Linked DNA regions of Lepisosteus oculatus. The protein of the gene in region 1 purifies or fractionates together with the protein of each later gene. This does not show direct contact. Links are inferred from orthologs where the notes say so. Each region holds a gene or a part of one and is shown on either strand. Other genes may lie near its edges. The genes, in order: e2f1, rbl2 and sirt1.

Region 1 (10,632 bases):
TGTGACAGCCTGAGGGACAAACTGAAAGCCATCACCCAGGCGACGTACACCCACTCGCGGAACCTGGCCTGCTTCGTCTTCACCTACAAGGGGCTGCAGGCCATACAGCAGCGCCTGCAGGGGAAGAGTCAGCACTACCACTCCTTCCTGGCCGCCTGCCTGGGGGGCTGGCTGGTCTTTGGAGACAATAACCACATCAACAGCCAGGTGACCAGCGCCTTTCCTTTCTCACTCTACATCTGTGAACCAGAAGGTTGCCTTTTTCCAACTTACAGTTCAGACATCAGTTTGCAGACCAGCTGAACCTACAGGAACATCTTATCTGATATTATCTAACATGTTGGTTACAAGAATACCTTAATTACCATGATCTAAGATGAATGTGTGAACCTTAAAAGGAATATAATTAAGTGTAGTTTAACAAACAATGTTGATGATGCACAAAAAATAAGTGAATCTCAGCAGTTTATGTCTGGAACTGTATTCAGAGATGGCTGAATTGGCATTGCACAAAACAAAAGATGTTTATCTTGATCTGCTTATAATGGAGGAGAATTTTGCTTGCTCTACAAGAGAAGAAGTCGTTCAGGCTCCTGGGACAATGACAACCTGTATGGAAAATATACTCTTTGCGCTATACTAAATTTGGAAAAGCAAATTTAGCAGTAAATTTATTTTACCTTCTCTCGGTAATCCGGGTGATCATCTGTTCCACATATGGATTGACTGTGCTAGCTGGGAAATTGGAATAGTTGGTAGTGTATTGCAAGGATCGCGGGGATGGCTTAGAATGATGAGGCACTAAAGAAGATTGTCATTGTTGTGAATTGCATAAAATCAACCTGGGCATGCTGGTTTGTTTTTGTGGTCTTTAAGATGTTCTGGGGGATGTAAAATGAAAAGAAATATCCCCATATTAAAAGGAAAAGGAGCTTGTGAATGCCTTACCTAGACTTACTGGTCACTCGGTAGACTTTTGGCCCACAGACACCTGCAGCCTTGCAGCGTGTCATAAGATGGGACTGTTCTGAAAGACAGGCATGACATCTGTGGAAAGCACATCTGTGGATCCCCCTTCTCTCAATGTGAGCTCATGAGTCGTAGCCTGAAACCCAGGTTTTAACCACGGTTAGATATAGAACACAACAAGATACTTGAAGTTTAAAATTTAGAAAAAAGATTGACCCCACACTTGAAATATAAGAGGTTGAGGGAAAAAAAATGTTTAGTTGTTATTGTACAGTCTAATGATCTGCAAGTTTTCCTGCTTTCTGTATACAACCAAGTTTGGAGCAGGCATTAAAATGGCCAGTGAGAAGGAATGCTTTTATAAACGTGCACAACTGTACATGATTGTAAATCCAGTTAAGAGGAAAATGGGCAATGTGGAAATGAGTTTTTAAACTCATTTTAAGAACTTCCCAGCAGCTATATCACCATGCAATTTACAACTGGTGACCCACTGAAGCTGAGCAGGTGTGATCCTATCCAGTACCTGAATGGGAGACCTCCTTGGAAAGCTAAGGTTGCTCTGTGGTCTTTAAAAATCCCAGGGTGTTTCTCGAAAAGAGTAGGGGTGTAAACCCGGTGTTCTGGCCAAATTTCCCATTGGCATTTATAAATCAAGGCCTCGTAATAATCCCCATCTATGAACTGGCTTTATTACTTTGTTCTCCTTCCCATTGATAGCTGGTGTGTGGTGAGCGTTGTGGTGCACTGTGGCTGCCGACACATAATCCAGGTGGGACTGCACATTGGTGGTGGTGGAGGGGAGTCGCAAATTATCTGTAAAGCGCTTTGAGTGGAGTATGCAGAAAAGCTCTATATGAATTGTAAGGAATTATTATTAAAAGGGGGACGGTGCAAGAACTATATTTGAAAATTGAACACTACAAGGAAGAATGCATTACTATTTGAAGGCTGTCAGATTGTGAGCTGTGCAATATGGTACATTGCTTTCATTCTCCACAGATAAACATGTACCTTTTGTCCCGGATCCTGTTTGCTCTGTCTCGCTTGGCTGTAGAGAAGGGCTACATCCCCCAGCCGAAGAGAGATCCTTTCCCTCTGTTCGCAACCCTGGTGTGGGGCATCGTGCTGTGGCTCTTCGAGTACTACCCCCATACTCTCCAGCCTTCACTCCAGTCCTCAATGAACTACCTCTACCACGACAGCAACACCTGGCATGACATCTCTGACTTCCTCCTGTACAACAAGCCCCGGGCTGGGGCTCAGAACTAACCTTCCAGCAGCTTGGACCCTTATCTGGGACGGGCTTGTCGGGTTCTCTTGCAGGCAGTTCAGATCAGTTAAGATGAAAGTTCAGGAAAATCCAGCCTTTTTAGAAGAATGTTCGTACTACTGTTTCCCCTTTGGTCTTGGGCTTGTTTTGCATAGCTGAAAGTCTATTTACTAAATGTGTATTGTGAGTGGGTTAGCAAGACCTTTATGACCCAGCTGTACATTTCAGAGGAGTCTGGAAAAATGGATGTCAATTTGGTCTTCCATCATTAAACCCCATCTCTTTAGAATTATTTAATATCATTAGAATTGGAATTTTCTTGGGGTGGGGGGAGGTGGTTTGGACCTCACCTCTTTTCAATACATTCTCAAAGAAGACATTTCCATTCCCTTAGAGGTGGGAAAGCAAAACTGGCCTCCAGCACTTCTTAGATTTTATATTTGACTAACTTCAGAGTGAAATCGCAGCTGTTTCCTGATGATCTCTGAAGAGGGCTGCCTTTCCAGAGCAGCTGTGTAATGTGCATGAATATTTTCTAACATTATGATTGAATAATGGAATGTCAGCTTATTTTCAAGATATGCCAAAACATCCTTCAGTTTTTTCTTGTCCTAGGTGTTTATCAATTTCTACGTATACTGTATATTAACCCTGAGACCAGCAGATAGTACTGTAATGTACGTGCTGTTTTCCATAAGGTTTCCAGTCACTCATCGAGAAAAGGTCCTTGTAGTTTAATTTGGCTGTGTATTTTTAAAAATACTGTTTACAGTTTACTTTCTTAATAGTTATTTGTTTGCAAGTTCTGTGTAATACAGTAAAAGTGTACAGTGTACACTTTGTTCCTTAGTTTTGCACTTACAGAATTACTAAAACCTTGTAAACAGTTAAGTTTTTTTCTTAAATCACTGTGACACGTTAAGCCTATGGTATAGAATGGTTAATATTTTTTCTGTTTTCACATTTTATGCTATTAGTTTTGATGCATGACAGAATCATGATTTTGATTCTTCAATTGTAATTCTTTGAAGTTTTAATCAACAGTAGTAACTTTATTCTGTCATGATAGTTCTTAAATGAAATAATTGTCTTTAATCATATTGGGCATAAAAATAATAGGACTATATCTTAACATAAGAACAAAACTCCCATGGCATGATAAGGCAGGATGGTAAATATAGGTTATCAGTTTTTTTAAATTGGATCAAGTTCTCAAATGCACTACATATGAAGCTTCACTGAACAGTTTTTTTATTAATAGAATACTATTATTTATATCAATAGTTATACTTTATTATAATAGAATAATAAACCATTCCATCTTCTCTTTCATGTGGGTAACAACAATAGAAGTGATTTTTTATATCTACATTGCAAACTCAGATTCACAACAGTCGTTTTGGAATTTGGGGTTTCTGAGCTTTGAAATGATTTGCTTCTCAATTGTACTGTAGAATTTTTTTTTTTCTGTTGTAGTGTGGGCATGAAAGGGCTGGCTTGGTTAAAACCCAGAAAACACGCTGCCTTGTGCTAATTTGTTGTTTAATCACTTAAGTTATTCAACATTTCAGAAGGAAGGACAGCCCCCCAAAATAACTGGTGAATCTACAGGACAGTGTTAGGAGACCCCTGACTTTAAAGCTTGTCTGAGTGAGCTAAAACATTGCTTTTGCAGAGTATTACCACTGAACATTGAAACGCACAATATCCAATATTTTTAAATAAGTTTCTCTTTTTCAGCCCAGGTCTGCCTATTCCTTATTCTGTCCTGAGTACTGTAAGGAATTGTAGCTTCAGGTGAACTGGACTGGTTCTGTGTCTCTTGATCTATGACTCTTGAGTATGTTTTGCAATCTGTGACAGCAGTCTTTTTTTAAACCTGTTTATTTTTAAATTAAGGATCCAATCCTTAATGAGAAGCAAACTGAGATCATGTTAAGAGTAACCGTGCTGATCATCGCTGTTTAAAGTCAAAGCTTTTATCCAAGTTACAGAATCTGAGTGAACATCAAATATAATACTGAAACAAAGTGACAGTGATTTCCTTTTAATGTTGTATATAAAAGGCACTTTCTAAGTGTTGACTCATCACTGAATGCATGCCATGTATATTGAATTTTGCTTAGTATATGTAAATAACATAAACTGCTCAGAATAAATTTTTTAAAGCCCTACAGTGCATTTGTTCTCTTTGTTGGCTGTTGAAAATAATAGGATCCCTAGTGTACAGATATAAAGTAATGTTGTCATTTGTGTGTTCTCCTATTTACTTTCAAATTCTATGTAAGCTTATTGTTGGCAAAAAAGAAAGTGAATTGCTTGGTTCTCTCTAGCAATAGTGTCTAATCTGAAGCAGACACGTTCATGCTCTAGTCTGTAAAGACATGCAGGGCTGGGCCCCTTATCTGTGCTGCCAGTAGTATGCAGGACTGATGAACAGTGCAGGGGCTCCGCAGGGGTGGTGTGGTGGCTCTGTGTGCTTGCGGCTGGAAGGTTGTGGGTTCGAATCCTGTGGTTCTGACCCCTAGCTTCTCTCCCTGTCTCTGTGTCTCATGGAGAGCAAGTTGTGGTATTTGAAAAAAGACAAATTTGTAATATAAGAAATTGTTTATGGCCAATAAAGTAGCCTTATCTTATAAATGAGCAAACTTTCAACCCTTAGGTACTTGTTTAGGTTGCAGTGGCTGATCAGTCTCAGAAGACCCAGCCAGCATCTTCCTGAGGTTCATGGGAGTTCTGGCTTCAATATCTTGGCTTGGCAGTTGTTCCTTGGCATGTTGTGGGTCTGTCCAGTAAATGTTTAAGGAATCGGAACGTTTTGTGATTTAGTCACAAGCTTGTTCAAAATATCACATTTTTACGTTTCGGCAAATTCCGTACTGGAAAGAAAACCTGCATCGTTCACAGTTTAGGAGTCTACACGCAGCACGTTAAATAATTCTGTTTCGGATTGCTGCGATTTTCGGAAGGCCACGTTTTTCAGAGGGGGTGATTATAATCTCACACGAGTGACATTAAACTCCTGTGATTTCTGCAAGAATTTCCTTTGTGCTCGACCTCAGTGAGTGAAGACCCGCACACAGACCCATCACCTTCCTGCTCTCCAGCACAGCTGCCCTTCGCGGGGGGTGTGTGGGTGGAGCCAAAAAAAGGGTAGGTGCCGCCCCGTCAGTGCAGAGCTCCTAGAGCTCCACCAATCCGGAGGCGGGGTTAGCACACGTGCAAGTTTCGCGGCAAAAAAGATTTGGCGCGCAAATCCCCAGCTCTTGTCTGATCAGCTGGGACAACAATAACAATAACAAGAACAAGTTGTAGATGGGGCGACGGGGGTTCTGTTGCGGAAAGTACCATACATTCACTTCTTAAGGACTATTTTTTTCTGAATTTATGCTGGGGAATTTTTCGTTGTTTGGCATTTTGGGTTGTTGGAAAACATCTGCTTTTACGCGTATGAAGGATTACGCTGTTTTCTGCTTCCTGAATACTAGCTCAAAAACAGGGGTGTGCTTTTATTTTCGCCTAGATCAATGGAAAGAAACGGCCGCAGAACGAGAGCATATAACTGAATGGACAAGGCCCTCGGGATGTTCTTGATACACCTTTTGATTTCAGATTTATGTCTGCTGAAAGACAAAATGCGCTGCGCTAAACTTGAAAATGGAATTTAAATGAAGAAGCACCAAATATTTTTAGAATATATGGAATCAAAGCATTCATGCTCTAGAGATCATTAAGATGGACAGTATTATTTTTGTGCATTTCGCAGACACGAATGGACTGTATTGATATCGAATCGATTTGTGATCGTAAGGCGCAGACGGAGCTGGGACAAAGGGCAGGGTGCTCCGGAGAACTTGAAAACCGAAAGAAAGATCGTGCGGTTGCACGGGGTTTTTACAGAGGCTTAGTGAAGAACTTAGTTGAGAATGTGTGTTTTTTAAGGGACCTTAACAGTTCGCATTAAGATGCATAGATGCATGCGATAAGAAAATGTATAGTTGATTATACAATGATTGCGTTACTGGACTGATGTAAAATGTAGGGAATCTAAAATGTAAAAATCCTGTTCGCACTCAGAGGCGAGTGTATGATTCAAAACGAAATTGATGATATGGGAAAAGTCTGGCTTTTTAAAGTTAAACTTGTGGCCTTTCGCATTTTATACTGACTTATTGTTTCGACCGCTTTCTGTCAGGCTGGTTTGAGGCAGACTAGGGGCCTGTAGTTAGCAGTCGAGCTCTCTTGAGTCTTTGTTGTGCGTTGCAATTACAGGTCCTGAGCTATACCAAACATGTTTCACTTGCGCACCCACAGACTGTAATTACACGTAGCCGAATGCCAGGGTTCAGCAATTGGCTTTTATGTGTTATTAGGATATACACCCTGTAGGTACAGTGAGGCAGGTTTACTTCGCGAAAATTAACATTACTCTTAAGATAATGGCTCCGGTTGTACTCCTGTTTTTACCATTGTTCCACGCGGAGACATGAAGCTTTGCCACTAAAGTATCTCAATTACTGCCACAATCCGAGCCGGGCAAAGAAGGGGGGGAAACGGGCAGCCGACCCGCGGAAGGCCATGTCCGAGACAGTGGTCACAGGTCAGACTTCGGAGGACCTTCTGGCTGACTTTGAGTCCATTTTGGGATCGGGAAGTATTGAGCTGAATGAGGATCAGATTGTCATTATCTCCACGCCGGCGCATGTGGAGATCCAGCCCGCAGGCTCCAGCGGCGCGGCGGAGATCCTGCTGTTCGCCACCCCGCAGGGACCTGCCCCGGAGGACGAGCAGCGCCGGCCGGTCCTGGGACGCCCTCCGGTAAGGGCCTCTCTGTCCCCCGGACAGAAATACAACTTGTAAATGCAAGAGGCTGCTCATCTGTTGCGCAGATGGATAAAGTCCGATATATATGGGCATATGGTCTAGTCGTGGGAAGTGGCTGTTGAATCTTTTATTGAAGACTCACAGTTCATTCAAAAATATAACGCTCATGAAAATCAACAGGTCATCATTGTGCCAATGGCGTTTTTACTAGACTGGGGGTAAAAAAAAAAACATATTGCCAGGCATGTTTGTTACTGAGGATTGTCAGGAAGCGTAAAACTGGTCATTGATTTTTGTGGTTGTCGCTCGTGGAGTGGTGCAATAATGCCCTGTTTTGTGTTTTGATGGTTTTTCTGAGGATATAATAACAGCAGTTATAAGGGTACTGATGAGGCACAGTGAGGATTGGTGGTGGCCTGTCATTCTTCCACGACAGTAGTTTAAACTGGTAGTTTGTTGGTGTGGTGGGCGAGCTGCAGGTTGGTCAGGACTTTTCTGTCCATGTGGCCAAGGGAATCTGCATGAGGAAAAGGCTACAGTTCGCACAGCAAATGTAGAACCGTGATGCTGGCGCTGTGTGAGAAATCAGTTAATGCGAAGTTTGTTTTATAGTTAAGAAAATTGACACCAGAAAGATGAATTGCCTTTAGGGACGTGCGATTCTTTAAACATTAATGTTATGCACATGATCAGATCATCCTGTGTCAGTTTTGTGCTCTCCAGTATTTAACGTGCTGTGCTTTTTCAGCAAGTGCCATGAAAGTATGAAGTTGACGGTGCCCTGCTCTGTGTTTCCAGACCCATGCAGAAAACTTGAGTGACTGAACAGCTGAGATGAGGGGTTGTGTTGAAGGTAGAGCTAGGCAGCTGGTGGGTTGGGCGGAGGGGGGGGTACAACTCTGTTACAATTTTGTCAGGCCGCTCCAGGTCGCTTTTTCCTCTGGGTCTAGATACCCTCAGTGTGCTTCCCCGGTTTCAAGTCATGTACCCGCCACTGACTTGTCTCTCCCAATTCCGGCGCAGGTGAAGAGAAAGCTGGACTTGGACAATGACCACCAGTACGTGTCCGAGATCCGCCATCCACCCCGAACCAGGCCTCGTGTGCCGGAGAGAGGTATGAGCCAACCACTTCCCTGAAAAAGTACTTTCGAAATCCCCCAGCATGTGAGGAGATCGAATTCAGTTACAACACCCTTCAGAAGGAGGGTATAGGAAAGCCAGCTGATTCACCAGATTAAATAAAATAGAGAATACAAAGTATCTGTATGTCTGAGCTTGAGATTAATATAAATGCATAGAATGGGTGGTACAGTGGTTAACATTGCAGCACTGAGGGCCGGTGTTCAGTCCTTGGGGTGCTGTCTGTGTGGAGTTCGTATGTTCTCCTCATGTTCCCGTGGGTTTCTTCCAGGTGCTCCAGTTTGCTCCCACAGGCCAAAGACATACTGTGGCTTGTGTGTGTGTTTGCGGACTAGCGTCCCGTCCAGGCTGTAACCTCCCTTGTGCCCTGTGCTTGCCAAAAATTCTGTGTCGTGGCAGCCTGGCTCTTGGGTTACTATACAAGAGTTATACTTTCATGTGCCTCTGTGCTCTTCATTTCCACAGCAGGAAGACCTTCCTCGGTTCAGTAAATCTAGAGGAAGCCAAGTTTTCTGCCTTCTTGACTGTGGTTGATTGAAGGACAGTTTCAGAGAGGAGGGGGAAAACAGCTGGAAGCTTGCTCCCTTGGCTCCTGAAGCCGATACCTTTCAAACACCAGCACGTTCATATTTTGATCTCGGGTACAACAGAGAATATGTAAGAAAAGAGAGGTTTTGGAACACATCTTTAAAGCAAGCCTCTGACATCTTGAGGGTCTAGCAGGCGGTAGAGGCACATTGCAGCAGGCCTACCTCTATCCAGGTGGCTTGTGAGACTTAGGCACTTTGAAAGCAAAAAACTGCCAAGGAGACTTTATTTGAACAAACTCTTCAATATACACAAACTAAAGTACTCTAAGTGGCCCAGCACTTTTCTTGTGAGTCCCTTAATATAGCAAATTATGCTCAGTTAACTCCATGTGAGAGGATGTGACTCTCATCCCATCACCATTCATCTAAGTAATCAATTAATACCCCTCATGTGAACACAATAGAGATCTTAAGTGACAGGTTAGCTGAAATGACTACCCTCATTACTGCAGGCCTGCCACACACACCTTTTGCTCCAATGCCAGGACAGAACTGTTGTGGATTAGCCCTTCCCTGATTGCCCAGACTCTCCTTCCTCAGGCCTGAAGTCCCCCAGTGAGAAATCTCGCTACGACACTTCCCTGAACCTCACCACCAAGCGCTTCCTGGAGCTCCTGGCCCAGTCCCCCGATGGTGTGGTCGACCTGAACTGGGCCTCGCAGGTGCTTGAGGTCCAGAAGCGCCGCATCTATGACATCACCAATGTCCTGGAGGGCATCAAGCTAATTTCCAAGAAGTCCAAGAACAACATTCAGTGGCTGTGAGTCTCACCGCTGCTTAGCTAAGAAGACACCCGGTGACAGGAACTGCTGAATGCAGCTTCTACAGATCTGAATGTCTAATATAAATGCCTCCTGTTTTCAATCCTCATTGCATCTGCTTTGTGGTTCTGCTTTTCACCCTGTGCCGTCATTGTGTTTTGGATTGGCTTAGCTGAGACCTTGGACAGAGTTGTCATATGCACAAATGCAATGAAATGAATACACCCAACTCTCCAAGTTATGTATGCAAGGGTTCTCTTCCACAAGGCTTTATGAATCCTAAATCTTATTTAAGTCAGGAGCAACCCTTTCCTAGCCATTGCATGAACACACATAAAGAATGACTATTTATGATACTGCAGCAGGGCAGGTCAGTAGCGAAGTGGTTAACATTGCTGCCTCGCAGTGCTGGGGCCCTGGGTTCCCAAGATGGGATTTTGAATGTTTTCACTGTGCTCAGTCTCCTTGTGAGTGTGTGTGCGCATTTGTGTCTGTGTGTGCCCTATAATGGACTGGTATCCTGTCTGGGGTGTACCTTGCCTTGTGCCCATTTCTTACTGGGATAGGTTCTGGCTCCTCCACAACCCTGAATCGGATAAAGTGGTTCGAAAGTGGATGGATGGATAATGCCGCAATCCTGTCTCGTTTTCCCTAGCTTTGATGGTTAACAGGTGTGTGTTCCGATGACAGAAGGGGGTAGAGAGCTGGAGAAAATGTTCCTGCACTGTAGCTTGGAGAAAGAGAAAGGAAACTTCCTCTCTTTACAGGGAGAGACAAATGAAATAACAATGAATAAAAAAGTTTTTAAACACTATAATTAGAATGATTAAACACCCACTATAGCATACCCTTAAAAATATACAGTACAGTAAAAAAATAAACATGAGTGAATTTCCTTTGAACACTTGTATAAATACTGTACATTTCCTTACCGTACACTGTATGATTCAGTAATTAAACACACAGTAATAAAAATAACAAAATCACTTGGGTGCTTCCTTGGCATGACCTGCACTGCAGTTTCTCACAAATTTTCATTGAAAAATCGTGACGTAGTATGCAGACTTTACCATGC
Region 2 (11,078 bases), on another chromosome or scaffold:
TACATTTGGTTTATTGGCGTTGGGTGTCGATATTAGAATCTTTGTGTGTCTGTTTCTGTGATACAGTTCGTAAGCCCCGTTTCTTCTGGGTTTTTTTTTCTCCCTGATCAGGGCTTCCTTCCAGAGAGCATGTTTGACCGGATCCTGACGGGACCGATCGTGCGTGAGGAAGTGAGCCGGAGAGGGCGACGGCCCAAGAGTGAGATGGCCAAGGCGGCGGCGGCAGCAGCGAACGCCAGCGCCGCGACCCTTTCCATCAACCCCCTGCTGTCCAACGGCCTGCTTTCGGGGATGGACCTGTCCAGTCTGCAGGCCCTCCAGCAGAACCTTCAGAGCCTGCAGTCCCTGCATCTCACTGCCGGTCTCATGGGGCTGCCAGGGGGACTGGCCGCCGCAGGGGACGCCAACAACCTCGCCGCCATGTTTCCCATGATGCTCTCGGGCATGGCCGGCCTGCCGAACTTGCTGGGTATGGGCGGCCTGTTGGGCAAGCCCCAGGAAGGAGCTGGGGTCTCGGAGGACGGCACGAAAAAGGGAAACGGCGGCAGCGGCGACTCTTCCTCCTCGGCTTCTAAGACGCCCGTGCCTACAGACACGAAAGGCGAAAGGACAGAAGGTCAAGGCGCTGACCAGTGCCCGAGTGACCCTTCGACCTCAGGCGCCACCGCGCCCCTAAGTGCTTCAGCTGTGGCTGCTGCGGCTGCTTCCTCTAACCACCCGTTAGCTCTTAACCCCTTGTTACTCTCCAGTATGCTGTATCCAGGGATGCTTCTCACTCCAGGCCTTAATCTTCCCATTTCCGCGTTGTCTCAGTCCGGCGTGTTCGACGCGCAGCAACAGAGCACGAGTGCCCGCCCGGCCGCCACCGCCTCAGGGGAGACCCCGCGGGGGGCCGGCGGGAGCACGCCGGCCAAGGGCCAGGAGCCCGGCGAGCAGAAGGAGAACAGTGCCGAGGAGGGCTCGGAGAAGGCCGGGTCTTCGTCGTCCGAGTCCGAAGGCTCCTCCTCGTCGTCGGAGGACTCGGACTCCAGCAACGAAGACTGAGCCCCGTGTAGTCTCGATATAAATATATATATTTATATATAGATAACCCTGCACTTACGTTGTGTTTTTTTTTCTTTGTAAATATCAAAAACGGAAGAAAGTGTTGTGTCATTTAAAAAAAAAAGAAAAAATGAAAAAAGAAAAGATCCCTATCTAGAACTGAAATGAAATTTCAGTGTTTGTTCAAAGGTACAATATTGTTTTGAAAGACAATTTGCATGTAAACCTTTATTAGATTTCTGAAATACATGAACTTGTATAACACAATGGTGTACAATTGCAACAGATAAAAAAAAGGCATTATTATAATTTTGTTGGGGTTTAATTTTATTAAAAAAAGAGAAAATTAATGCTCGAGCCGAGCTGTACATTTAATATATTTGGAGTGGGGATAAAAAACACAGGACTTTATACATATTTTGATTTAATTTGTAAATAGTTTTACAGCCTCCTTGACACTTATAATTTACAGATCAAACTTTGGAAAACTCAGCAATAACTCGGGCAGCTAATGAATGTCACAGAAGCTGTAGATTCTACATGTTCTTTGCCATTTTTCTGCAGATCCTAAAGAAGCTGTTGCTCCCTTCAGTGTGGTTTGCTTTGGTGCTCCAGGCATGTCTTTGTGCGGTCTTACTCCTGCTGTGCTGGTTCTCCGTCTAGAAAGTGCTTTGTGTGATATTAGGGAAGGAATAAAGGTGACAGATTAACAGTATATAGGCCTTTTGGCTATCGCTGTATACATCACACGCCTATCTACGTGTGTGTGTATATATATATAATGTATATAATTGTTTTCTTTTAGCAATGGGTTGTCTTAACTGCACTTTAGGTTCTTATGTGCTCTTGCACAGGTCAGTAACAGAGGCCTTGTGCTAGAAGGCACCTGTTTTCTGTGGATAAACACCGATAAACCTGTTTGCTCTGTGCTGGTGCAAGTCCAGAACCACACCACTGAGTGCTAGTGGAAACCAGACAGCGGAGCGAGTCGGAACCGTGCCGAATGATAATCCGCGTGGGAACGGGAGCCGGGCTTAAAAAGAAAAAAAAAAGTTTTAGAAACGCTATCTTGAGTTGTAGTGCACTGCTGATGGGAAGAGGAAAAAAATCAACTTCAGGTACAACTGTGTGTTCGGAAGAATATTAATTTAAAATAACAAAGAGGGGAAACGAAAACCTTTCCCAGTCAGCCAACGAGAGTGGCTGTTACCTCAGCTGAGTTCTGGTGTCGAGTTTACAGCAGTTTACTTCGTTGTTAGCAGTTCAGAAATAAAAGACTCGAGTGTCCTGCACAGTGTTGTTCTCGCCTAGCTGACTGTTGTGACTACGTTGACTCACCGGGCTCTGGTGGTGTTGTGCTCTTTCATTTCCCCGATTTGGTTTTGTGTGTTTGTTTTGTTCTTTCTGGCATTTCTGCCCCACCGCCCCCCCCCCAAGGCTCAGAAGAAAAGTCTGTGAGAGAGAGCCACACTTCTGTCGGCATTGTCGTTCAGGCTTCTCCGGCTTCCTGTGCCGGGCTCTGTAGACGGTAGAGGAGGGATCAGATGTAACTGTGAGTGTGTGGTTTGTAAAGGAACAGAGTCTTGGTCGCCGGGAACTGCGTACCAGACGCCTCGCTCTCTGTTCAGTCCTTACAAACGGATCCCTGGTGTTCTGAGCAACTAAAGCGTTACGATATGAAATGAATTGTTTTGTTGCACTCAGTTGCTGACGTCAGCTCTCACGCAAAAGCAAGTATCGGTGTATTGAGGGAGGCTGTTGTAACACCATGATAAAGCTATAAATAATGAAAAGCGATGAAATTTTATAGTTTGCAATTTTATGAAGACCACTCTGCTGTTTTAATTTTTGTAGCAATAAGTGGTGTTGTGCTAAGGATCAGGATTTAGGCATAGTGTGAGCCGTTTGGGTAAGTTAGTACTTTTTTTATGAACGGCGGCAGAGGCACAGATGGAAAGCAATGCAGTATGTATAGGAAATTCCTAATGAACTGTTGCCAAATACTATACAGGCTAAATCTGTGTTCTATTCCCAGTTAGCTTGCAACACTACTAAAACTGTTAACTGAATCAGTGTGGTCTTTGCAGAGTAGAAGCTTGATGAGCTTTTGTTAATTGTTAACTTTTGTGTACCAGACTTCTTGGCCTCGTTTTTTTCCCCCCCAGACTGGAGCCATTGAGTCCTTGTGTTGCTAGTGGGATGAATGATTTAATTTTGACATTTGATCAAACCGTGACAGAAGTATTTCCGCAGGCCTTCCAGTTCGGAGCACGTTTTGCTTTGCTTTGCTCTTTTTTGTGACGTAACGTAGCGTGGAGTGTGTGTGTGTTGTGCACACCTGCACGTGCTGGCCTATAGAGACCCCCCCCCCCCCCCAGGGGGGGCTGTGCACTTCCTGAAACTGTGCAGGGCCGTGTCTGCGCCCTGCCAAGTGAGAACGAGTAACAATGCGCTGCCTTGACTGAGATGTGTGTCAAGCGCCTCAGTGCAGCACGGCGCCAATCGGAATGAAGCAGGTGTCTGGGAACTAGGCTCTGCAGAGCTAGTGCACAGTCACGCAATGGGCTGAGAGGGAGATTGCTGGCATGGAGGTATCTAAACTAGAGATGGGGGCATTTGAATAAATATGGTGGGACACTGTATATGTACTGACCCCTGTAGGAGGGCCATGATGGAGTGACGCTTTTCAGACCTGTGAAATCCATTTGTATGAGCTATTAACAAGCGCTCCTCTAAAACAGGTTGTACACAGAATCTGTGCTCTTGTTAGAGGACAAATGGTGGAGAAGACTCTGCTTGAAGGAGTTGCATTGTAATTTTCATCCACAGCTCTCATTACAGTATGCTCTACAGTAGGGGATCCCCAAAATCTCATTGCTGGGGGACAGTTTCAAGCTGTTGCCATTTTGGAATACCCCAGTTTATGACCACCTTGAATTTTTAGGTGCAGTCTATTGCAGTTGTAATTAAGTAGAATAGGTCACCTACAACAATATTTCTTGAAGTTTTATGGCTAAGGGGTCCTGACTTGAGTCTCATCTAAATGTGGATAACCCTCTGCCATTTTAATTAATTCAACCACAAAATACATACTTTTGGTATTACTGCAAGTATTGCCAGTTTAGGCATTACAGTTGCTCAGTTACCTTAATGAAGGAGTTGCCAAAAATTAGATCAACTGATTACTGAACATTTTAATTGTGGGGAGAATGTTTAGTAAAGTTTTCCCTGAGCCTAGTTTGGGAAGCTTTCTCCAATGACAGTATTACTAGTCTATTCTGGTCATGTTTTGGCATAGACTAAAAGAGATTAACCTACTTATATATAGTTAAAATAAGGAATACAGAATACTGCTGGAACAGCAGCTGAATACTGATTTTTTTCTACACAATTATCGTTTCTCCTGCTAATTGAACATGACACTCTGGTGACAGTTGTCAGCTAAAAAAACACATTTCCTAACTACAGGTCTTGCTGTTCACTCTAGTGAACGAGTGCAAAGGAAGGTTACCGTTCAATCTGAGCTCGTTAAAATCATTAGGGTGCCAGTAAATCTGCATTCAGTGCAGTCAGTGGCTTGCCATATTTTTCATCTCCTCCCCCCCTTTACGACCTACCTAGTCCTAACACTGGTGTCCAGGGTGCATTTTCAGTATTTTGGTGAGAATTTGGTCAGCAACTTTCATTTGTACCCATAAGCACCCAGCACTGGACTGTAGAGTCGGTCACTTGCATTCTGGGTTTGAACAAAAAGGTTCAAGCATTCAAATGTTATTTCCATCTAGAATAAAGATTAGAGTCCTCCACCAAACATCTCCACTTGCACTCAACCTCCACTGTGTTTTTGTCTTCAGGTATTTGACACATTTTCTAGTTAAGCAGTTTAGTCTCATTTTAATTATGTCTTGGACTTCGTTGCCCTGTCCTATTACGCTGCTGCAATTTATGGGGATATGAACTTGCTGGGACCAGGTTGTGTTAATGGATACCCCCTGCCTCAGAAAAGGTCATCTACGTGTACCCTAAATTTCAGCCAACCAATATGCAAATAGACTGTATGCAGGTGTTGCAAAAAGTATGTACACTAAGACATGAAAGGGGACAAAGGAGATCATTTATGTAAAGTAGTTGCTGAAGAAGAAAATAGCTATCCTTGCCTTGTATTTGTATCTTTTGTTTTCAGCTTGATAAAACCTTGAAAGTCATTTTAAGTTGTTTTCTTTTGGACAGTTGCAATATTTGCAAGTTGTGGTCTGTGTAGTCAAATAATGCTTTCTGTAGTGGAGGAAAAAAAAGCGTCTTAAAGTCATTTGTAATTTATTGAATTACTTTCTATGAAGTTCTATAGAGGAAATGGAAGTTTAATTATTTTTATTAAACATATTCTTTGACTATCCACGAAGTCTGTCTGTGTCCGTTATATTAACTGATGTTTCCAAAGTAAAAACTATTTTAAGATCAAATCAAGTGAATTTTGTACTTTTGTTTTTCCGTGCTTTTGCGGGGTAATGTCATTGACATCGCAAAAATATGAGGCGAGTTTATCAAAAGACAGGCACACTGTGTTCGGTTAAATAATAAAAATGCTGAACGTTTGTTAAAATTGTACAACGCACTACTAAGACCTAATTCAGGTCTTATAATTTTACTCATCCTTTTATAAACAAGATGATGCTGCAATGAAATAAGTCCCAAGAACACTCAGATGCATTCCAGGATGTAAGAGAATGTCCTATAAGGTTCAAAATAAAAAGACAAATCGCATAAGGGTCAGAAAAGCTTTTCATCTCTCTTGAGCAGCAGACAGACCTCCCACCACCCAGAGCCGGTCCCCCTGTGGGACAAGACCCTTAGCGGACCAGTGATGGACTCCTCTGTGCAACTGGTAGCCCTTGTACAGGAAGGGCCCTGCATCTGCATGATTTTATTTCAACTCCACGCTTAATGAGCCGGGCCAGCTCTTCGGGTGCTGTGGCTTTAAACGGACCTTGAAGACTACCAGAACTGGCACTGGACACCTCTGGGTAAAGGGCTGATGACGACAGTTAGCCCTTCAGGAGGCATCAGAAGAGCAAAACACAGAGGATTAGACCTGGGAAAGCTAAGGTTGCTGCTGGAAGAGGTGTTAGAGGGATCAGTAGATCACCCCGCTGTGTTTGTGGGTTCTAGTGCCCCAGTAATGTGATGGAATATGAGTATAAGGAATTATGATAATACACAAAGGGTTGACTGCACTCTGCTCAAGCCTGGCTAACTCTTGTGTTTTGGAGAGCCTTGCATTGTGTCTTGTGTTAGTAGTGCTGCACAGACCCAGGTCCAGAGGACTCTAGTCCCACCTCCCAGGCCCTGTGGTTCAGACAGTAGAGCTGCCTACAGCCTGGACTGTGCTTTAATCCTTGTGGTTCTTTGGGTGTTTGTTTAATACAGTCTAAACCCGACTTCCTTGTAATACTCTCAGCGGAAAGGACAATTTTGCTGCACATAAAACGTCAGAAATTTTAATCACGAGTCCTGCAAACCTTCTGCAGCGAGATTCGTGTGCAGAGTGGACTCTTATGTTTCCAGTCACAAACTGGTTCAGCACTTCATTCTATGAGTTTTAACAGGCTTTGCAACAGAGCGAACTAAAGCATAAATGCAGCGCTCTCTTTCTCGAAAAGGAAACAGTGCAGAGCTCGTTTTAAAAAAAATAAACGCCTCATTTTCCGCTCCGCGGCTGCAGGAAGTTTATGTTTGGGCTCTGAGTGACTTCCGCGTTATCCATTCCAAAAGTGGGACGCAGTTTTGGGGGCGGGCTTTGGTCGCAGGCTACCGCTAATTTACCAAAGCTGTTACGCCAGAAACTCTGCGCAGCAGTGCGCTGTGGAGGGGATCTGTACGGATCCAGCGTACGGCAGTAGCAGCTGTCACTCAAAAGGCATTTAAATGGCTACACTGTACAGGGCTACATAATTGCACTGTACAAAACACCGATACAGGTTTGCCTTTTAATTTATGCATGCATTTTAGTAAAGTGTTTTTCGAAACTGCTAATGCAGCTTCTTGTCATGCCCTCGTAGCCTTGAAGTGGTTTTCCTTTGGGCTGGTGTCTGTTTAATCTCGAGTTGAGCGAAGAGTGCAATAAAACAAATATGAACGAAGAGGAAGAGGCTTCTCAGGCGACGAGACAGAGGTTTGAGGATCTCTGCAGGGCGCTGAATATGGACGAGGCGGCCGGCGATGAAGCCTGGAGGAATTACGAAAAAATCAACAAAAACTACACCTTAGAGGTAAGACAGCCGAGCCAAGTGCAATACAATCGCACCGGTTTAGAGACTGTAAAATGGTAGTGATCCAAAAAGTCCCTAAGCACAAACTCGCACTGACCAATCAATATTATTTCCTATTGCAATGTAGCCCAAGTAGCTTTTTTAAAAGAAGAAAAGGGGCAAATATCCTCGTACAATGTAATGACATTATTTTCTCTTACATTATTGTGAGTGTTAACGATGCGACGCGGAGGGGAGGGCCATCGGCTTGGCAACCTATCGTTATCGTTTCTGTGTGGCGAATTGGTATTTTCAGCCCAGGACCGACATCGTAATAGAAATGGTATACAATCTTGAACCTTTACTAAAATCAACCCGTATATGTCGTTTTCTGGGCGGCTTTAGTCGAGTAAAAGGTGTTTGCTGGGAGCGAACATTTTTAATTAATAATATATAACCTTTTTTAGATTATTGCTTTGTTATTTTCCGAGTGTGAACGGTAATAAATGAATTAAAACAATTATTGTATTCGTAGACATACGCCAACGGAACGATCTCCGATGAAAACTGATATCAATATTGTATTTGATAAAAACGTCTAGCCACATCTCAAGAATTTATTATTATTATTATTATTATTATTATTATTATTATTATTATTATTGATGATGATCATGATGATGATTTTCAGTTATTTGGTTGTATCATAATTGCTGTAACTTAACGAAATGTCTGGGTATGGCCCTTATTTCCATTTAAAAATTGAAATATTTTTCATCAAATGAAAAAGAAGCTATTTACATAATCTAAACTAGATTACAATAATATAATATATAAAAAAAAGTGTTAAAGTGTTGCTTTCCAAATATTCAAGAAGTCCAAGCTGCTGGTCCTTGAGTTCAGTGAGCAGGGCTTCAGAATTGATCTCCTTCTGATCTGAGCTCTGCATCACTCCTCCCAGCCCTGACTGGACTGGACACTGTGGTCATATTGTATAATCCAGTAGAAATATATCGCCACCAAATACGATGCCGTGTCTCAGCAAGCTGGCCACTCAAGGCACACCGAAATCCCTACAGACGCACTGGAAAATCACAAAAATCACAAGAATCACAGAAATCACAAAAACACAGAAATCACAAAATTGAGGTAATGAAAATAAGGTGACATCTATCATTATGAAACCTTATTTTCATAACCTCAATTTTGTGATTTTGGTGTTTTTGTGATTTTTGTGATTTCTGAGATTCTTGTGATTTTGGTGAGCTCGCGGAAAAGACATTTAGTTGCCAGCAACCACTGCTGCACGATGTATTGTTGTGCATTTGATAAATAAACTTTGATTTGATTTGATTTGAAAGCAGGGATACGGCAGCTACACTGAAAAAGGAGCCTCTTTTCAGATTTCACACTACAGAGCCCTGCCAGGAAGGCGCAGTGCCCTTTGCGAGAGGAAAAGAACATAAATCTTTGGCTCAGGGTGAGACGTTTTGGAGGCATTAGTGTGCGTCTTACCTCCTCCTTTGTACTGAGGTCACCCTGAGGAAAGTACAGCAAAGGGCCACAGGCACTCTACCACGCAAAGCAAGGAAGTCCATATTCCAGGTATTGAAAACCCACAGGAACCCTGCAGGTCCCCTGCAGATATTGTGTGTTATCAGCCCCCCAGAAGGGAGTTGTGCTTAAAAACAACAGGAAGCGTGGGAGATGAAACATGCGCTCTCTCTGTGCTGGACTTGCAAGCCCAAGAGCCAGAGCCAGTGTTGCAGACCTGCCACCCTCCCCCCGTCTCCTCTCCCCCGCAGGGCAGCGAGCTCCACTGGCTGGCCTGCTCTCTGTACGTGGCCTGCAGGACGGCCGTCCCCACTGTGGGCAAGGGCACGGCGGAGGGGAACTACGTCTCGCTGACCAGGATCCTGCGCTGCTCTGAGCAGAGGTAGGTACGCCAGAGGGTGGAGAGGCAAAGCCAAGAAGGGTGAAGAGCCATTCTTCCTTCTCATCCGGAGAAAACACGACCTCAGGGTGCTGATACCACTGCAGCTATCTTAATGGAAGAACCTCATGTGGGGAGTTGTGTATTTTTCATTTGTCTGGTTGACTTGCTGGGATGAAAGGGCTTACCCATTGAGTTTACACAAGGCCCTCTATGTGGCAACATCCTTCCATGCGTTTTTAGGAACCACTTTATCTTTAGAAGGTCGCGGTTGAATTGGAAAATGTCGGCCAGAAGTTTCGGAACACGCTTCACACGATGAGATGTGCACGAGGCTGAGAAGAGCTGCAGTTTAGGGTGGTGATTGGGCTCCTGGATGCTTCAAACCCCTGTGAGCCAGTACTGTTGTACCCTTGAGCGAGATACCTCATTGACACTGTAAGGGGAGGATAGATAAGGCTGGACTCAAGGTATGGTAATGCCAAATGTGTCCAGTTCTTTCATTTGCTACAGTCCGGCAGGAGACTGGAATCTTTCAGTCAGGAGAGTGAACAGAGGGACTGTCAGCAGGTTGAGCTCTTCATTTAAAAAAGCACTAAAAATAACTAAGGAGGTGCTCTCCTCTCAATATTCTTTATTTATGCTTACAGCGATCCCATGCTTGTATTCACTGGGACTGGTATTAACATTGTTCATGAAATACCAGCAGTATAGCTGGACAGTTGGGTACACACGTAAGTCAGTTTGGACAAAGGCATCAGCCAGACAAAGGAATATGACTGCAGGCTTGCAGTGACCAAGCTGACTAGAGGCTAAACGCCCGCGTCCCTAACCCCGGCTCCCCTGGCCTGGCAGCCTGATTGAGTTTTTCAGCAAGATGAAGAAGTGGGAGGACATGGCCAGCCTGCCCCCGCACTTCCGCGAGCACACCAGGAAGCTGGAGAGGAACTTCACCGTCTCCGCCGTCATCTTCAAGAAGTACGCCCCCATCTTCCAAGACATCTTCCGGGACCCCTCCCAGGACCCCCCGCGGGTGCAGAGGAGCCGCAAGCAGCGGTCAGTCCGCCGGCCGCCCCCTGCTTTTTTCAGTGCCGCGACGACAGGAAAGCCTGGCGGTCTCTGTCCCCGAGTCTTGAGCGTGAAAGCGGTGTCCAGCTGTGTCACCTTCTGGCCCAGAATGAGCTCAAGTCCAGTTTCTCGTTGGCTCTGGCACAGTGACACACCAGCCAGTTCTCTCTCTATTGCTTTCAGCTTAGTCCCGACCGGAGTCGTGCCACTCACTCCAGCTGTTAGCAGCTTGCAGTTTGCTCTGATCCTCCCTCAGCTCGAATTCTCCTTGCCGGGGACCCCAGTTTTTTGGGGACCCCAGGCAAGATCTTGGAAAGGGGACCCTCCAGATCCCAATTTACACATACACTACTATTACCAGCTCCCACCCAAACTTATTTCACTAGTTAGAACAATTAGATAAATGGATTATATAACTAAAAAACTATTTTAAATTATTATTATTATTATTATTATTATTATTATTATTATTATTATTATTGGCCTTCAAGAGCACATGAAAAACGAATTACAAACAAGAACAAAAGAAGCACACATTTTACAAAGATAACGTATTTTAACATTGAAACTAATAACATGAAATGGGACTACTAAACCTAACTTCTTGTAAACCACCTCAAGTAGTCTATATTTCTAGCTAGAAAATTGGCTTGTGTCCCGTTCGCTAGTCACATGGATCTGACTCAAACCACATGGAATACAAATGTGTTATTACATACATGAATTGAGTTGACGTACCTCTGTTTTGAAATCACTTATCCTGCTCCATCTCATATTTCAGCGTC
Region 3 (10,533 bases), on another chromosome or scaffold:
TCATGTGTTTTAAATGTTATATAGTATAATGTTTCTCTTAAAACACATAGGATTGTAAATGTAAAAAACACAAAAATACCATAAATACAAATCAGGATTTAACACTTGCTTCTGCATTTCCTATTCCTTGGAGCCTCAACATGTACGGTATGATTCCTTAAGATGTTCCTTCCCTGCATCATAAATTACAATACTGTGGCATCTAGAAGCTCCATTAGTTGTCTTATGGACAGGAATTTACCAAAGGCTTGCAAACATAACGCCTTCAACAATGTTATATTGGTTTAACTAACAAAATAAAAATTAAACTGCAACCTTCAGGGATCCTGTGCCATGCATGCTACTTGGAAAAAACAAACCACATATCTTTAAATAATGGAGAACCAAAACTTTTTCAATGATTTAAGATTTATCAATGTATTAAAAACATCAACAGGATAAAAGGTACAATTCTGTTATGGATAAATATAGAAGATTGTTCTTTGTTTTAAAGGAAGAGGTTTGCAAAGGTAAAATTAAAACGATATTGTTCAGTATGGTCATAAGAAAAACAGTTCTCAAAGAGCTCCAATGACAGGTGGACTATTAGTTTTAAACAAAATTATTATTCAAGCATTTTCCCAGACAATTGGCTGCAATTACAGCCATTTTCCCTTCACTGTATGTTTGGCATCAATGGCTCCCTTAGTCATGGCTGTCACTCACATCACATTTGTCAGGGCTCATCTCCCATCAAGTAAGGAATGAGTACCAAATCCTGAAGGTCATGAATTTCACATCTAGATGACTGTACCCTGTACCCTAGGCCAGATCTTGAATAACACACACTTCCTGTACCCTGGAACATACTGTGGCGATGCATCTGAGCCCAGTGAAGGGAACAATAGATGCTGTAAGAGAAATCAGCTAACCCAATAACTGCAAAAATAATAAATCACAGTAAAGAACTTCAGATCTACAGAATTAGTCTACATCAGTAGTGGACATTGCAGCTTCATTGACAATAGGAAAGGAAGAGGTCAGTTTTACAGCATCTGTTTCAAGGGTTAAGGCTTGCATTTCAATCCCAGCTAGGGCAGTCTGGGACTGCAGTTCTGAGGCAGGATCAAAAGTTAATTTCAACTGCAAAGAAGGAGATGAAAAAGTGAAAATATAAATATTCACACTAAATGTGAACACATTTACTTGTCACCGTTTAAAATGTTATTCAGTTACACTGCTTAGTGCATGTGAACATTGCAGAAAACACAGTAGAAGAGTAAATACCTGCTTTGGGATTTTCCGGATGCTTGTCTGGGTGACATGCTAGAGCTCTGACTTTGAACTCAGCCAAGATCTGGTCCACCTAGAAAAGAAAAAAAATCATTAATGTTCCTTTGACAGAAATGTAAATCATATAAAAACAACAAAAATGTTTTTTTTTTTTAACTTATCTGGGTGGCTTTACTGATTCATGCAGCGATTGTCAGTTTTGTGCACTACTGTGTACACAGTTGGAGCACTAATTCACACCTCAGTTTAACAGTACAACTGGATACTTTCCAGTATTCTGACAAACGTAGGGATATTTAACATTATTCCAGTAAAAAAAAAAAGATTTCTGGTAAAATGTAACATGTAACAAATGTAACGTGAAGCCAGCAGCCATATCACCCTGCAACTCACAACTGGCAACCCACTGAAGCTAAGCAGGTGTGAGCCTGGTCAGTACCTGGATGGGAGACCTCCTGGGAAAAACTAAGGTTGCTGCTGGAAGAGGTGTTAGTGGGGCCAGCGGGGGGCGCTCACCCTGCGGTCCATGTGGGTCCTAATGCCCCAGTATAGTGACGGGGACACTATACTGTAAACAGGCGCCGTCCTTCGGATGAGACGTAAAACCGAGGTCCTGACTCTCTGTGGTCATTAAAAAATCCCAGGGCGCTTCTCGAAAAGAGTAGGGGTGTAACCCCGGTGTCCTGGCCAAATTTCCAATTGGCCCTTACTAATCATGGCCTCCTTATAATCCCCCTCTATGAATTGGCTACATTACTCTGCTCTCCTCCCCACTGATAGCTAATGTGTGGTGAGCGTTCTGGCGCACTATGGCTGCCGTCGCATCATCCAGGTGGATGCTGCACATTGGTGGTGGTGGAGGGGAGTCCCCATTACCTGTAAAGCGCTTTGAGGGGAGTGTCCAGAAAAGCGCTATATAAGTGTAAGCAATTATTATTATTATAATTCACTATTGTCAGTCTTTGCTCCATTTCTTGACTAAGCTTGCTTTCTTCTTGTCCTATGAAACTAATAAATAGCTATATTTTTATTTCATTTTATGCAACTGGTTTAACTGAAACATTTCCTAACAAAATGTATAATCTTAAGTCAGTTCTGCAATTCCGATTACAATACCTTGGGAAGAATCAATTGGTCCTGTTTTGGCAACACAGCAAAAAAAATACCATATTTGTGCTTCTTTACAAATTGGAGTTCACGTGCAACATCTATGCATAAAAGGAATGACATCAAACCAGAGACACAAGTAAACACGTCAGTTTGCGTCCTTCTAGCTTCTCTCATACATACAATCTACTTCCTTTCTTGTCTCAGAGTCTTATCAGAAATGTTTTCCATTGATTTGCACCTGAAAGGATTATCTATGAGAAAACTGCTTGCTTTGAAGAAGAGTGGAAACAAGCACTCTGGTGAATCTAAACGGAGAACAATCTTCATTGTGTGCAAAGCCAACGTTGTGCACGTCATATCTGCAAAATGCTTGAATGGTCCTGAATTATATAATTTGTATGCATACCCATAAAGGGTGGAAAATGGTGTTTATTTCGCTGGTGATATGCAAATTAGAGAACTCTAATGACATTATCACACTTTTTCCTGCCTATGTTACATAAGGTTTGAAGAAGCGGCAGTGACCTTGAGTAAATGAAAGAAATCCAGGGAACCATGAGCAGAATGTGTTTTGTTGAACGTCAACAGACATGAAATGACGTTAAGAGCTGAACAGCCCTCAGTTTTCTCAGATTAGAGTTGTGCATAGGTGTCAGGGAAGCTGATCTGCAAGTGTCCAGAACATAGATGGGTTTGGTAGACTGAAAAATCCACACATATTGTGATGAGACAGACTACGGTTTAGGGCACCTTAAGGCTGCTGTTTGTGTGGCGTGAGCAGAGTACAGTAGATGCTGAGGAGTGCTGTTCAAACTCAATAAATACCCAAAAGACAAAATTAAAACTAAATGATTTGCATGACCTTTTCAGTGAAAACACATATAGATGCGGAATAATGTACTGAATATATTATTTTCCGTACTAATAACATCTCTAGATTTACTTAAGATCTTTGGCATTTCCAGAAGGTTGTCTAGGGTAGTCCTAGCTCACTACTACTACTGATAATACATTCCATTTCCTGATCACTTGTGACTGCAGTACTTATCACATTGTTTTTTGTGCAGCATCTATGCATTAGTCTATTCTTACACTGTAAGACTATTCACAGAGACAAAGAAACTGTGAAACATTAAACCCATTGTAATTACAGTGTCCAAAAAACACACCCATCTCATCCATGTGCTAGACAGCCACTGTGTACTGTAGCTGGCTTCATGCCTAATCATGACTAGAAGCTTCTGGAACTCATGATGCTACATCTGTAATCACAAGCCGATAGCTGAGAGGCTTGGTGAAAGTGCTGATAGACAGCTGTGTGGGACATCTTCAATCATGCAGAAGCTGCACACCAGCTGCACTCTGAACATTCAAGCTGCAGAACACCACTCCAGGTCTCAGAATGGGACCTTAATCGATTGACAAGGATGACTGGGCATTTAATTCACCACTGCTGACATTGTGACTTCCCATTTGTCTGTTTTACTGTGGAGGGAGGGAGGTTAGATACAGTAAATATCTTGGCAAATGAACTCTTGTAGTCTGGACAGCTGTTGTTTGGGTCTTCACAGGTAAGCTGGTCATCAAACATTTGTGGATCTCAATGTATTTTATCGTTTAATTTACAGAGTTATTTTACACTGAAATATGTAGTTTGTGACAGCATGTAGTGCGTGAAGAAATTAGCAAGGACATTTATATCATCTCACCCTAACAGCCAGTAATCAATACTAACAGAGTGTAGTTAAATATAAATAATTACTTTCACTTCTAGTTTTAATTAACAACATGGATTTAAATTAATCATGGGCAGAACATCCTCAGTAAGACTTTCTTAGTTTTTTTTCCTCTCCAGAAATTAGCAAACAGTGAAACTGTGTACTCCAATATAACTTTTGTCGTTTAAAAACATCAATTTCAGGAATCCCAAAGCTTGAGCAGATCACCAATACATCATCATAAATAATATTACAATAAAACGGCAGCATTACCCCCAGAAATCTATAAAAATGGCAGGGTTGTTCATTCTTTTCTGTTCCATGTAAATGATACTTAGGCAAAGAAGGCGTATTTTAGAATATTTTCAACAAGTACCAATTAAAACAGGTACAATCGCTTGCAAAAGTCTACATTTCCACTTACTGTCATCAATCAAAATAACTAAACATCTTCTCCACTTCCTGTTAGCTTACAATACAATGACACAAACACTGGTTTTCCATTGAAGGGATTTAAAGAAAACCAACGGGTGCTATTTCGATGCACGTTGTATATCCTTCACACCGATGGATATGTTCAATAACACAATGAAGTTTATCTATTAAAAAAAGAAGTGTCTCTCTCCTTTATCCAATTGCTACAGTACCACCAGAAAAAGACGTGAAGAAAAAAAAACATTTTAAACATCTACACAGATGTTTAGTGTTTAAATTAGTTTCTCTATCGCCATTCAATAAACTTTTAAACTGAAGATGGGTCTGCAAAATGGCAACGTTAGTAGAAGTTATTGACTTAAAACAGGGAAAGCAGTAAACCAATTCAACACTTCATTTTAGCTGATTTAAAGCTTACCGAAGACAGTTCATCGCATCCAAGCAAACCGTAGTAGTCTTCCAGATCTTCAGGTTTGCAGTTCAAAATCGCGTCCATCTGAAGACAGGTAAGGTTTACCAACACTAATCAAGATACGCGTAGTTCAGTACCAATTGCTTCAAATATGAGCAATGAAACAACTTTACCTTAAACCTGCTAAATGTAGCCTATCTTATGACTCAGAAAATAAAAAAAAAATCATTCCAGTTCTTTCACGCAACGGTCAGCTGATGCTTTTGAGCATTTTGATCCAGAGTTTATTGGACCAGCGACGGTGGGAGGAGAAAATACACACTGAAGGGGCTTTGACTTACATTACACAATGCAATTTGGGATATGTAGTCGAGATGTCCAGTACATCTCCTGCGTTGTACCTAGAACCTGTTAGTATGTCTATTATCCCGCTTCGTAAATTTTAAGTTAGGTCTTTTAGTTTACATTCCGTATATCAGGCAAAAGTACCGTAGAGTGTGATTCAAAATCTCGCATCTAGCAATCACTGTTTAACACCAGTATGTATGTTTTAGAGCCGATATCGGTGCACAAAACCCTTTATAGCACCTATCATCATCTAACCGAAAAAGATTAAGCAATAAGCAACGTCCTTTATCATGATTAAATGTGATATACATCTTTAATTCAATAAATATCAGAGACACAGTCATCCCTGCTTTCCATACTTGCTCGCCTCCGAGCCTATAAAATAACGGAAGCCATTTGCCAACAACGCCTGTGCCTTTCAGGCAGATACATAACGCTTAAACTTAAATTTGGTTTGATGGCCGAGATGAATCATAGAATAAAGTTGCAATGGTTATTAGTATGATGGATTATAGAGAGACGTATAGATAGAGAAAAGTCTTGTGATGAAGCAAGGCGTTATCCGTTAGATACAGCCACGGTACTACATTCTTTGTCAGCCCCGAAGGCGCCTGCGCAGTCGCGTCGTTCCGCCCCTGGCTCCACTCTAGTCACATGACATCGTTTGTTGTGGTTGACGTCATCGGCTGGTAGCGGTGTCGCGTGGGCCACCGCTGGAAGAGATCGAGTCACGTGGTCCGTTTAAATCTCCCATCAGCTGTCGTGCACGGAAGATTTCTATGGTCGAGTCTGAGCGGCGAGGAGCCCGAGTGAGCTAAAGATGGCGGACGGAGAGAATATCCTCCTAAACTCCAGCGCCAGTGGCTTCGAAACAGATGAACCTCTGCCTAAAAAGCCGAAGGTGGGATTGGCGTTTAGTTACGGGGATAAGGCCGCTCAGATCGATCAGGAGAGTGGGATCGGGGCCGGCGAGACTGGGGCGGCGGCTGCCGTAGCACCAGCAGCTGCAGCGGTGTCGGCGGCGGCGGCGACGACACAGCGGCCGGGGTTGGAGGAGGTGGTGACGGTGGGACAGGCCTCGGCTGCACCAGGAGGAGACAATGGGCTTCTGGGCTTGGAGCTGCAGGAGGGGCTGGGGGAGGAGGGAGAGAATGATCCGGTCGGCGGTTCTGCTGCAGAGCGACCAGGTACGGAGTTCTCCGCGATCGCTGCTCACTCCTGTCTGGTCCACTTGAATTAACGTGGACAGTCTAATACAGTCTGTAGAACTTTTCACAACTCTACCGGTGGATAAAAATTACATAATAAAAAAGTGCAACATAAATGCCGTGCAAGGGTAACCATTCTGCACCAAGCGTACCTATTTACCCGCCATGTACAAAAAACTCCGAAAACTTAAAATTCTGCATAGTCTATATTGAACATACATTTAATATAATATTCGTGATTTAAAATTGAGAGTAAAATTTAACGTAGCATTTTTCGTGTATAACTTTAAGGATTAATATAGGGCCATGTATTTCTGAAGTGGGCATCGCAGTTTTGTACAGAAAATTAACTAATGCAATGATCAGAACGTGCACATATCAAGAGTATGGCAAGAAGGTTTTCTTACGATTTACTTGCAGGAAAGTACCAGTGCGTCTGGGGTGCATAGTATAAGGTTATTAAAGTAATTAAATAACGGTTTATATAGACGCTGGATTCTTTACCGAATAATCGTGATTTCCTCATACAATTTCACATCGAATTATACCCGTCTACTTGGCGCTTTATTATAAACTCTACAATCAATTAAAAAAAAACACCAGAATCAGTCACACCTCTTTCCTGTGCATATATAATTTGTAAAAAAAAATCTGCAGATTTCCTTGTCAGTCTTTCAATTTTTCAGACATGGCGTTGAAGATGTTTCCATTATTTTGTGATTAACTGATTTGTACAAACTCAGTTAGGTCAAGACAGAGCCGTGATTCAGTTTTCTTACTTTTGTTTTTGCTGACAGAGTACATTGATCTCAATGATGAGATTCTGCCCAATGGATTCCATTCCTACGATTGCGATGACGATGATGACAGATCTTCGCACGCAAGTTCTAGTGACTGGACACCTCAGCCCCAGATAGGTATGGCTTTTAAAATAGTAATAAACAGTTGTGTCAGTAACGCAGACATTGTAGTTTTATTCAGAAGACAAGAGTTTGTGTATGGGTTTTAAATTTCATTCTTGCAGACAAAAATGACAGTTGCATTTAATTTTTTTTTGAATATGAGATTCCAGTTGAAGTATTGCTGAAGTGGAAGACTGCTTTTGGAAATTAATTTAATAGGTTTAAGAGATATTAAGATTGTGTCAACTGAAAAATTGATTCAAGTCAAATATGTTTTGTTTCAGGCTCCTACAGTTTTATTCAGCAACACATTATGAGAGAAACAGACCCTCGAACGATTTTAAAAGACCTTCTCCCAGAAACTGTTCTTCCTCCTGATCTGGATGATATGACACTGTGGCAAATAATAATCAACATATCGGAGCCTCCAAAAAGAAAGAAACGCAAAGACATCAACACCATGGAAGATGTGGTCAGGTTACTGCAAGAATGTAAAAAGATTATAGTTTTGACCGGAGCTGGGGTATGTAATTATTAGAAATGTCACTGAAGAAATACTAGAAAGGCTGTGTTTGTCTTAAGAGCTACAGCGGAGTACATCGTTTCAAAAATAATGTAGACATAACTGTATAGCACATAGCAAATTCAGGCAAATGTTACTGGAAAAGCATATTGTGTAAAGCTTTTTATAATCCTATATGCCTCTCAGTAACTCTTAATATCACACGGACTTACTCCAAAACCTACATCATGAGCTTAAAATGGTGCACTGTTTTAGGATTGTTGGATGTTAAAATTTGGTTAAATAACTAAAAGCTGAGCAGAAATTCTTTGTAGCTGGGAGCTGAATCTCCTCCTTCATTGAATTTAATGGAATAATAAGAGGAAATGCTGTAATTGGGGAAAAAATGAGAAAATCTAGGTATTTAAAATTATTGTATGCGCAGAAGGAGCGGACACCAACAGGATTTTTCCTTCTAATGGAATCTTGAGGGTGTTTTCAGTAAACCTAGATATATCTTTCTTTAACATCATTACATGGGTCTTTTGAAATAAGTAATTTAGTGTTGGATTTTATGAAATGTGAAAAGAGCTGTAAACATTTCTTTCTGACTGCAGGTCTCGGTGTCCTGTGGAATACCTGACTTTAGATCCCGTGATGGCATTTACGCGCGGCTTGCGATTGACTTCCCCGATCTTCCTGATCCTCAGGCGATGTTTGACATAGAATACTTCAGGAGAGATCCGCGACCCTTCTTTAAGTTTGCCAAGGTTTGTTCATTTAAATGTAAGAGCGCCTTGCCTATGTCACAGATCGCTGCCGTCATTATTAAACATGCCAGAGTGACTGTGACTTGTGTTATGAATAAATATTTTACATCCAAAGCATTTTTTGCTTACTTTTTTGGGAAATTGCATATTAACATGTACATGCACCAAAATCACTACATTTTGAACAGGAGATGATTAAAAGTATAAGAAGAAATGGTCTCCATTTTTGGGGTGTGTAAAATGTTCTAAAATTATTTGAAACATCTTACATTCTCTATCAAGGGCGGAGTTTTTGGGTTACTTACAGTGTGTTCTGCTCTCTCAGGAGATCTATCCAGGACAGTTCCAGCCGTCGCCATGTCATAAGTTCATTGCAATGTTGGATAAGCAGGGGAAGCTTCTTCGAAACTATACTCAGAATATCGACACACTGGAGCAAGTGGCTGGAGTACAAAGGATCATACAATGTCATGGTTAGTTTACCGTCCGTGATGCGTTTAATACATTTAAAATACAAGTCATGAAAATTTTCAGATAGTAGAGAAACCTATAAGACAGAGTTGCAGTGTCCCTGAAGGTTTTGGGGCCATGAGGTCTAAACTAGGATTTTTACCATGAACTCGAATAATAATTTCTCATGCAAAGGTCCAAATGAAAACCAAACAAACAACTCGTTGCTGAAGTTACCAAAAGATAGGGAGCAGAATAATGGAGACTGCACTACATGACGTGTGTGAAAGTAAACCTTTCATCAGCACCAGGAACAGGAAAAACAGAGTATAAATTGGTCTCAAGTGTAAAGGTGAATCACAAGAGTTTAGTAACTGCCTTATGAACAGGTGAGACAAAGATCAACCTTTACCAAAAGTGACGGAAAGGTAAAATTGTGGATAAAGAAAGGAACTGCAGATGTTTCAAAGAACACCATCTCATTTGGGAAGCAGGGCAGAGGTATTGACAAGCTACAGGATATTAATGCTCTGGAACTGGCTCGTTCATCTTTATTAACATGAACATTATTAACGACTAATAATGGCAGAAGTAGCAAAAAAGTCTGATGATTATAGGAACATTTTGTCTGATTATGTGGACATTCTTCCATACATATTGGGAAGCAATTCAGTATACAGCAAGACAATGACTCATGCCATATGGCCAATCAATTGATCATGTATTTCACATGCTGAAAAACCAATTGAAGTGCTATCAAGAACAGGCAGTGGTTGCAGCAAAGACTTGGCAAGGAATCTCAAAGGATTATACAAAGTTTGGGGAGTATAATAGGTCTCAGACTTCATGTAGTTATTGCCTTTAAGGGATATGCATCCAAATACTGTTGGCCACTTAAAACCACTGAATTGTTTTTGTTTTAACTTGAATATTGTTTGAAATGACCCAATAAGATACATAAAATGTTTTAATTTTGCTATCCTAATACTTCTGAAAGGCAATGTAGTAATAATTAGCTTATTTCCAGAATGTCTGTCTGGATGACATTCTAGAGCTCTGACTTTAAACTTGGCCAAGAGTTTCAAGTTAATAGTATTATAAGGAACTGTAGGTCCATGCATAATGTTGAGGAGAAAATTACTTCATATGCTGTCAATTCAGAAAACAACTGCATTCAATGAATTGTACCAGAGGCAATAAATAGTGCTATAGAATGTTGATTCTTTGAAAGAAAATAATCCAGATATATACCAGATGTTTTCTGATTGCCATTAAACTGTTTTATATCCGCTTAATAATTAACAGTGCATTAACGTGGCTTTTAATTTTGTTACAGGGTCTTTTGCAACAGCGTCTTGTTTAATCTGTAAATACAAAGTTGACTGTGAAGCTATTAGAGAAGACAT

Evidence for each region.
Region 2: the proteins of e2f1 (region 1) and rbl2 purify together in Homo sapiens (affinity purification with western blotting; 3 studies listed by BioGRID and IntAct, with this or other methods). This does not show direct contact. The link is inferred for Lepisosteus oculatus from reciprocal best matches to the Homo sapiens genes E2F1 and RBL2.
Region 3: the proteins of e2f1 (region 1) and sirt1 purify together in Homo sapiens (affinity purification with western blotting; 3 studies listed by BioGRID and IntAct, with this or other methods). This does not show direct contact. The link is inferred for Lepisosteus oculatus from reciprocal best matches to the Homo sapiens genes E2F1 and SIRT1.

Annotation. Positions count from the first base shown.
Region 1 is NC_090711.1:15,206,761-15,217,392, reverse strand, and holds the start of e2f1 (transcription factor E2F1), read left to right. Parts: upstream 1-5,483; 5' UTR 5,484-6,820; coding exon 6,821-7,060; intron 7,061-8,089; coding exon 8,090-8,180; intron 8,181-9,336; coding exon 9,337-9,556; intron 9,557-10,632. Other genes in the region: pxmp4 (peroxisomal membrane protein 4), read left to right, coding at 9-207, 1,972-2,241. UniProt on the Homo sapiens protein: Transcription activator that binds DNA cooperatively with DP proteins through the E2 recognition site, 5'-TTTC[CG]CGC-3' found in the promoter region of a number of genes whose products are involved in cell cycle regulation or in DNA replication.
Region 2 is NC_090715.1:2,786,164-2,797,241, forward strand, and holds the start of rbl2 (retinoblastoma-like protein 2), read left to right. Parts: upstream 1-6,948; 5' UTR 6,949-7,175; coding exon 7,176-7,313; intron 7,314-9,097; coding exon 9,098-9,228; intron 9,229-10,080; coding exon 10,081-10,281; intron 10,282-11,078. Other genes in the region: chd9 (chromodomain-helicase-DNA-binding protein 9), read left to right, coding at 112-1,044. UniProt on the Homo sapiens protein: Key regulator of entry into cell division. Directly involved in heterochromatin formation by maintaining overall chromatin structure and, in particular, that of constitutive heterochromatin by stabilizing histone methylation.
Region 3 is NC_090699.1:33,368,213-33,378,745, forward strand, and holds the start of sirt1 (NAD-dependent protein deacetylase sirtuin-1), read left to right. Parts: upstream 1-6,115; coding exon 6,116-6,482; intron 6,483-7,300; coding exon 7,301-7,420; intron 7,421-7,689; coding exon 7,690-7,928; intron 7,929-8,524; coding exon 8,525-8,677; intron 8,678-8,982; coding exon of another isoform or gene 8,983-9,002; coding exon 9,003-9,150; intron 9,151-10,463; coding exon 10,464-10,533. Other genes in the region: dnajc12 (dnaJ homolog subfamily C member 12), read right to left, coding at 1,267-1,345, 4,954-5,031, 8,983-9,036. UniProt on the Homo sapiens protein: NAD-dependent protein deacetylase that links transcriptional regulation directly to intracellular energetics and participates in the coordination of several separated cellular functions such as cell cycle, response to DNA damage, metabolism, apoptosis and autophagy.